2 linked regions of the Daphnia pulex genome follow. The protein of the gene in region 2 purifies or fractionates together with the protein of the main gene of each other region. This does not show direct contact. Links are inferred from orthologs where the notes say so. Each region holds a gene or a part of one and is shown on either strand. Other genes may lie near its edges.

Evidence for each region.
Region 1: the proteins of protein FAM117B-like (region 2) and DDB1- and CUL4-associated factor 7 purify together in Homo sapiens (affinity purification with mass spectrometry; 3 studies listed by BioGRID and IntAct, with this or other methods). This does not show direct contact. The link is inferred for Daphnia pulex from reciprocal best matches to the Homo sapiens genes FAM117B and DCAF7.

The regions. Positions count from the first base shown.
Region 1 is NC_060025.1:4,763,628-4,767,869, forward strand, and holds DDB1- and CUL4-associated factor 7, read left to right. Parts: upstream 1-1,536; 5' UTR 1,537-1,736; coding exon 1,737-1,843; intron 1,844-1,930; coding exon 1,931-2,072; intron 2,073-2,134; coding exon 2,135-2,233; intron 2,234-2,295; coding exon 2,296-2,418; intron 2,419-2,483; coding exon 2,484-2,765; intron 2,766-2,833; coding exon 2,834-2,951; intron 2,952-3,061; coding exon 3,062-3,237; 3' UTR 3,238-3,464; downstream 3,465-4,242. Other genes in the region: uncharacterized protein LOC124202359, read right to left, coding at 3,562-3,759, 3,848-3,984, 4,128-4,242. UniProt on the Homo sapiens protein: Involved in craniofacial development. Acts upstream of the EDN1 pathway and is required for formation of the upper jaw equivalent, the palatoquadrate. The activity required for EDN1 pathway function differs between the first and second arches.
Region 2 is NC_060019.1:1,555,084-1,559,362, reverse strand, and holds the start of protein FAM117B-like, read right to left. Parts: upstream 2,909-4,279; 5' UTR 2,837-2,908; exon of another isoform or gene 2,685-2,836; intron 2,553-2,684; 5' UTR 2,545-2,552; coding exon 2,262-2,544; intron 2,187-2,261; coding exon 2,009-2,186; intron 1,932-2,008; coding exon 1,598-1,931; intron 1,530-1,597; coding exon 1,406-1,529; intron 1,336-1,405; coding exon 1,231-1,335; intron 1,060-1,230; coding exon 921-1,059; intron 849-920; coding exon 527-848; 3' UTR 1-526.

The sequences.
Region 1 (4,242 bases), on a different chromosome or scaffold from region 2:
TATTCCTGCCATTCCTAGTATTAAAGGCATTTGTGTTCAAAATTTATCGTCAGTTTCTTTTGGATACCATACTATCCAACAAGATGAAGATGGCTTCATATACCCATCGCTCAATCAATCTACAAATCCATACTTTGATTTTCCTACGGCGCTATCTCCAAGAAGAATTATTTTTACCGCCAAATCATTTGATTTACCAGTGGCTTCATAATCTATACCAATGTTGCTATCACACATGATTTCCATCGCGAATACAAATTGTTAATCCAAACCAACGATTTTGAAAAAACTTTTCCTGTGTTTACTTTCCACATTGCCATAGCAACATGTCCTTTAACAATAGCGCCAAACCGTTTTCCGTGTAAAAGAAGGAAATGTCTTGCGGCTGTGCGCGTCATTCCGATCATTCATTAACAATAATTATTTTTTTCCTGGAGCTAGCATTTGCTACATTGCAGACGTTTTTTAAAATATAAATTGATTAAATGAAAAGACGAGCGATTGGGGTCGTTACTGTAGTAGTAGGCCTTGTCGAGTGGCAAAATAATTCAACTGCGATTTCCATACATTTAATCCCACTAGATTGAGGGAGTTTTTTTTTTATGTATTATACTATGAGAAGTCTCATGTATGTGTACTAAATAATATGATACATTGGGACTGAGAGACAAGTTTACACATTTTCTTTCACATTTGCAACACCAACTCCAACCATAAGGCCAACAACTGTAAATCCTTGTGCTGCAATCCTGAGCCTCATCATTTTTTGTGACATTTGGGGTCTCCTAATGAATCAATTCAAACAATTACAGATTTAAAAAAAATATATTATGGTCAATAACCACACAACAATCAATTTGTAAAGTTATACCCATGACGAAAGGACCACAGGCCATATGTCAATGCAGCTGCAGTTGCTAGACACCCAATAGGAACAAAAGGATTTTCAGAAAATTTTCTGTTGAATTTTTCTTTGAATGTCTCCTGGTTCTTCAAACTTTCTGATCCAATTTCCTCTCTTAACTGAATCCAGTTTAATTCTTCAGCATTTAAAGACTCAATTTCATTGTTTATTTTGCTTGATGTTTCCATTTCTCTGTACACAATCAAAGAGGAATTGTTAATAGTGTAATATAAATTGTTGAAGCAATGTACACATAACTGATCATGAATGCCAAAATATTTTAGATTTCTAAATATTTTGATAATTCACCAATTCGGTCATGAGAAGTCGATTGTGTTTATTAAATTAAAAAGGAATAATAACATACGGAGTATGATGTTTCGTTCGTTCTATAGTATCGCAATTACTTTAAATCTAAAAGTATTAAGACCGAGACTGAAAAGTTGTCAAGAAATTCCGAGTTATTACATAACAATATTCACAAATTGTAGTTGCGACGTTACTACTTGAAGGTTGAACGGTTGAACGTTGAAGCACTGCAGCGATCGGTAGCAGACAATATTTAGCGGTGGTGGCGCTCTTCTTCAAAATATCGTATCTATTTTGCCTGTATTTGATTTTGACTCTGACTTTCGTTTCAGACTTCTACCGCTTGGTGTACAGCTTCAGTGTGAGAAAATTTAATGGTTGTCTTGTCTGGCCTAAGTTAATAGATAGGTTTATTTGTTTGCGTGGGTCCACTGTCATTCCGGTTAAAATTGCCAACATAAGAAATTCTAACACTTCTGCATATTTGATCACGATTCCCGGGAATTGTGTCGTTTTCTAAAAAATGGCGGGGCTAAATGTTGCTCCCAAACGAAAGGAAATTTACAAGTACGAAGCACCATGGACTCTTTACAGTATGAATTGGTCAGTGCGTCCAGATAAGAGATTCAGGTGAGGGAGGAAGTTTAAAATTATGTATTTTATGTTTAAGAAATGTAATATTCAACTTGACTAACCTCAAATTCCTTTACAAATTAGATTGGCTATTGGAAGTTTTGTAGAAGAATACAACAACAAAGTTCAAGTAATTTCATTAGATGAAGATTCAGCAGAATTCAGTGCCAAAAGTACTTTTGATCATCCATATCCTACTACAAAAATTATGTGGATTCCTGATGCGGTATGGAACTATCCTGTTTCAAATATGGTTAAAGAAATGTTAATAATTAAGTGTGTTATCAGAAAGGTGTTTTTCCTGATTTACTGGCTACAAGTGGGGACTATCTACGCATATGGAAAGCAGGAGAACCAGACACAAGATTAGAATGCCTCCTTAACAATGTAATTTTTACATGAATTATTATTATTTACAAGAAATTTAATTCATTGAAAACAATTTCTAGAACAAAAACTCAGACTTCTGTGCTCCTCTTACAAGTTTTGATTGGAATGAAGTTGAACCTAACCTTATTGGAACATCTAGTATTGACACCACATGTACCATATGGGGTTTGGAAACTGGACAGGTAAAGCAATATCTTTAAAACTTCTTTAAATCTTATTATTCTATAACAAACTATTTATCTTAAAGGTTGTTGGTCGAGTTGGTGGCCCTGGTGTAGCAGGACACGTAAAAACTCAGTTAATCGCACATGATAAAGAGGTCTATGATATCGCATTCAGCCGGGCAGGAGGCGGGCGAGATATGTTTGCATCTGTTGGCGCTGATGGCTCCGTGAGAATGTTTGACCTTAGACACCTAGAACATTCAACAATCATATATGAAGATCCTCAGCATCGTCCTCTGTTAAGACTAGCATGGAATAGACAGGACCCTTCTTATTTAGCAACGATATCCATGGATGCTTGTGAAGTATTTTCGGTTTTTCACCTCATTTCAAATAGAGAACACGTTACAAATTTCTTTGTTACAAATGTTAGGTGGTAATACTCGATGTAAGAGTGCCGTGTACTCCCGTCGCTCGTTTGAGTAATCACAGGGCATGTGTAAATGGCATCGCTTGGGCCCCACATTCTTCCTGTCATATTTGCACAGCTGGTAAATATTTTTTATTTGTAACTAGAATTGTGCAAGTACCGTGTGCACGATGTATGCTGCCAATTGCTGTATATAATTGATCCGATTTGATCTGGTTTGTAATAATTTAGGTGATGACCATCAAGCCTTGATATGGGATATCCAGCAAATGCCGCGAGCCATTGAAGATCCCATACTTGCTTACACAGCGGCTGAAGGTGAAATCAACCAAATCCAGTGGGGAGCAACACAACCTGATTGGATTGCCATTTGCTACAATCGATCCCTTGAAATTTTACGAGTTTAATGCTTTAATACCTATATATATCAAAACTGAGTATGACTAATGTCTGAAAACTTCTCATCAGGTTATCTTAGATCGTGTTTTTTTAATAATTCGTATCCTCTCGTGAATCGGATCGTTGATTTGTAATTAAAATAAGGAAAATATCATAAGAATGTGACATTTGAGATTTTGAATTTGTCTGTACTACTAAGCAAAAACTTGGAAAAGAATGACTGAATTTGAATCAACAACATTGTTTTATTAGCTTTCTATCACAGCACTCGGATTCTGTATAAGATCAGCAGGTATTAACATCATATATATTTTTATGTTTCTCTTTAAAATTCAATTTGAGACTGCTAAGTGGTTGGTTTGATTACTTGAAATGCTTTTGTAAGCTGTTGGATTCGAAAGTTGCATAGTTTCTCGTAGCCGCTCGTTAAGTAGTTGGTATCTCTCGCGAATCTGCATTTCGTGATTTTTCTCTTCACGTTCCAAAACCTTAAGGAAACTTGATAGTTCAGCCACTGTAAATTCCTCCCACTGAAATATAGAAAGAAGAAAAAATGGGTGCGCTTATAGTTTAGCGATGGAATATGTCGAAAATTAGAGCCCCGCAATGGTATTTTACCGGAATGTCTCCATTTTGGCTTTCTTGAAGGATTAGAGTTTTGGCACAGCTAGAGGCATCGAGATTGGTATCATCGGCCTGCCAATGTTGGGCAAGTAGAAGCGGACAATCGAAATCATTCAAGCGACGAAGTCGAGCTAAATAATAGCAAATACAACATGATTTGGTATTCTGGAATTTAGTACGATCGAGTCCGACTCGTTTGAGAGAGGGAAGGTAAAAAGTATGACGAAAGAAGGATTCAAACAGATAACGAACGAACGCAAGTATGACTACGTACCTCGACTGGTTTTTCCCGGTTGCCAGCTTTTTTCATAGATGGCCAGTTTTTTTGGTTCCCAACCTGAAAGATGAGGATGGGCTTCTACGATTTGTTGTACCAGTTCGATGCACGC
Region 2 (4,279 bases):
GATTGCAACATTCCCGATTCAAATTATTAAAAAAACAAAAAATAATCAATAACAGCAAGGACGTCCCGAATTTAAAAGGATTATTTGTTGTTTGTTTTACCAAATTCCAGTGCTGTGTGTCTCGTGTTTCAAAAAGGCTTTCCTCAGATAACCTCTCAACCAAAAGAAAACAAAATAAAAAAATTACACTTGAAAATACAAAAAAAAAGCCTGGGTTGATCAAAGAAGAAACATTTTAGGCGTCAACAAAATAATTTTGTTTTTTGGAAAAAAAAAAGGGCTGGGAAATACTTTGCATGAAAAAGAAATGAAAGAAAATTTTTTCTTTTTTTTTTTCAGCAAAGTTCAACTTGTATAACCAGAGGAACATAGTCCCGAAATGCTGCTGGATGGGATTCCAACAATAGAAATAACTATAGGCCGACAAAAAAAAAACCTAAAAGTTCTCCGGGCCGTCCTTTTTTTCTTCCCCTTTTTCTCTCTCTCACCAAAATAAAAAACTCGGCAACTATTTTCAGAGAAAGAATCAAATGGGCTGTCCTGAGGGAGTGGCGGGAATCATTTGTACGGCTGCGGAGGAGGAGGATATCTGTTGTTGTTGAATGGGCCATTGCGGAGGAACGCTGCTGGAACGGTCGCTACATTCACCGAGATTCGATCCGTGAATAAGGCCTCCGCCGCCGCTTCCGCCAAACAAATGCGAACTGCTGCTGCTCTTCATGGCCGACGAGAAGGATGAAGAGTTGAATTTGTTCAGCGAACAAAAGGCAGAGCTGCTGGACGGCTGCAGCACAAACTGGGAGCTGGGCTTTGGCGGACAGTAGAGCGTCGCGGCGTCCTGTCCGTTTCTAATGGATGGCAAAAGGTAATCGTTAGTGACACACCCACATCAATCGGCCGACGGAGGAAAGTATATATACTTGACGGTATGCTCGACGATTTTGAGCGTTTCGACTTTCTCACAGCCGTCGGGCGGTTCTCGGCACAGGAAGCGGTTCCTTGGCGAAGTTCCAAGTGACAATGCTTGGAAATCTTCCGGCGATAAGGAATTATAGTCGCCTAGATATATACATACACCAAACGGAAATGTCGACTGTACTCGTGTGCGTCTACGCAAGCTGTCACCAGCTGAAAAAGTCTATAAATACTTGCAAAGAAAAGAACAACAACCAAAAACAACCGGAGGAGGAAGAACAACAACAAAACAACCCAAAAAGTGATTACGCATACCAATTTCTTCGGCTGTACATCCATCGCTGGGCGGTCGAGACGAAGAATGATGATGATCGAACACCCAAACGGATGGAGAGACGGATCCACATGGCGAGGAAGTCCCTGAATGAGAGAAAAGGCACCCCATTATCATACCCAAAACGTCTGGTACTCTTGTCTACTCGATATCCACCTGACGAAGAATTCGTAGAGTACGCTTTGACAGGCGTTTGTGTGTCGACACTGCGGCAAGAATTGTTGCGCTTAAACAGTTCGGCAATCGGAGCTCGATGCCCATCCGGCGTCGGTTCCATCACCTACAAACCAGACAAAAAACAATTAGAAAAGTTCATTTGTTGAATTGACTTTTCAACTTTGTCCTGACCTTGTTGGATGTCGTCTCCCCGTTGCCTCTGCAGACCAACTTCTCGATCTCGGTGTTGAAACCTTCCACCGAGTTTCTGGCCCTGGAGCTCTGCGTCGTGGGCGGCGGGGGCACTGGGATGGCTCGAGACTTTTTATTATCACTGGACGAGCCGAATAGCGGTAGAGCCGGATGTTGCTCCGTGTTGGTCGAGACTGCCACACGGTTGGGGGAGATGGAACCCGAAGAATACTGCTGAATTAGTGGTGGATTCAGACCCTGATGGCCCAGAAAAAAGCGCTGCTTTTGCTTCCTATCACGACTAGGGGAAGACTCTACACCTCGGCAAGAGAACCTTCAAAACGAGAATGAATGATTTTTGGCTTTAATGGTTAGGACAAAGTAGAATCAATGTCTTAAACAGCTCATTACCTCTTCAAATCAGCCATCCATTCCTCTGGAGTTTGTGTGGCTTTGTCAAGCAGAAGATTTGACTCGTAATCTGCTGTTCCTCTGGGCCACTGGCCTTTCAGATAAATGGCATCGAGGGAAGCAGTTCTTCTCATGGATGGGTAATCATCAATCTTTTGCGTGGGCTCAGGGTTCTCCACTGAAATCAATGAATTGAGGATGTTAGTGCATGAAGAAGAAGTAGAAGCTTGTATTGTAGAAGAAAATAGCAAACCTTTGATTGGAGTAGGGGACCATTGTCTCATTCTCCAAGGTGTTTGTTTAGGTATTCCACACTGCAAGGTGTTAGCGGGGCTAACAGCAGTGTGGGGCAAATTAATTTTGCTCCATGCACTCTGAGATGAGTGGGTGAGATGTGGGTCTTCTGGCACATCAAGGATCACACTTTGACTCATCAGACTGACTGGAATTGTTGCTCTGAGTGGACCACTTGATTTGTTTGTGCTGGGCGATCCATTCCTTCTCAGTTTCTGGGATGGCTGTGTATTGCTAGTCATTTCTACTACTGTGAACAAAAAATAAGAGTGATTTAGATCCAGCTAGTCGATACATGTAAACTGCAGTGGCGAATCAAAGAGACCAGATTAAATCAAGATAAACCAAACGTTTTCTGGCAAATGCCGGAAAAAAATCTTACATTTTAATAACAACGTAGGCTATTCTGTGAGATCTGAGGGGACTGAGAACTACGAAGATATGAAAGTAGCCCTGATAGACGGTCGTCTTTACGACATAGCTTGAAACGAGCTCGTAATTTAATACTATGACCAAATCCGAGATATCTTGTACCTTCAATAAAACAGCCCGATATTTCTCGTGATGCAGACGATATTTACGATACGACTCTGACGCCACCACGTGGAAGAAATAATCAATGATTAAACAAACAAATCTATTTCAGAAAACTAATTTTACAGTTAAACTTCTCCACAGTGTCTCTAGTAAAAAAAACAAGATGGTAAAATTCCAAAAAACATACTGACAATAAGGTTTTGATTTAAGTGAAAAAGTAGTGAAATGAAATCATTCGGCAGTAGGCTGACTGCCCAAATTCAGGAAATAGCATTGTTATGATTCTTTTTTCCTTTGAAGAGGCCACAACAAACAACGAGGCATTAAATGTGACCTTCAAAACACATGCTACCACTTATCTACACACAAATCCGTTAGGAGAAAAACCAACAATAGTTGAAGGTTGTGTGTAATGTAGATATAGTTGTTCCGAAAAACCCAGTTCCTATAGGCTAGCTTGAGAAGAAATATTGATACAGGACCATGAATAAATATAACTTGATAGGAGAAACCTACGCAAACCGTCCTTTCCAAATGAGCGAACATCAGCAGCTATGTTAATATCGATCAGTTTATAAAGTTTTGTAGGTCTCCGAAAGTTAGCTGGGGTAATTTTGGAAAATCGATGATGTCCGCATTCCCAGACACATAATTTTGCATGCTTTTCAGCAAAATTGTCAACTGCTAATTGATGATTGAAATGTTTTAGTTGACCATTGTTAAATTAGAATATTGTGATGCTACCCTACAAGAAGTAATTAATCCATCAAATTGTACACTGCATCCATCTTTCGAGTCGTCTGGATATTTTCTGGTCTGACAAACTACAAAAATTTGGAAACTGAAACATCTCCAAAACGCGTGTCAACTTTACAACAGTTGGTGTAAACAAATCTCTGCCATGCATAGCATGCCAAGGGCAATACTTCACTTTTAATGCGCCAGTTTGACATTTCCTCGTTCTATTTCAGCATATTAAGAGAAAGCTCACCTCCTGTTCCGTTTGGAGAAGTCGACGAGGTTTCACATTCGACGTAAACTCAACGATTATTAATTAGCCTCTTTTCCGATTCGAAAATTGGCACGTTCCAGCTTCCGCTCGTCATCGATCTTGTCGAAAAATTCCTTTGGAATGTCTTGGCAGTGGACGCACATTTCGTCTTCTGACGTCATTTCTGTTCCGACATCGTGACATCAGTCACATCCCACACAAAACAAAACAACCAACACTCGCTGCTGCTTCTGTCTACCTGGCAATTCGATTAGTCTTGCACTGCTCCCCCATAATTTCATCATGCTGAATTAACTGACAGTAATAATAACTAAACTAATTAATTAATAGGGTGGACTTGCAATATGGAATAAACGAGAATTTGTTTTTATAACAGATTAAACCCAAAACGAAAATATTTACGGTTATTCCAGCATTGTTCGCAACTC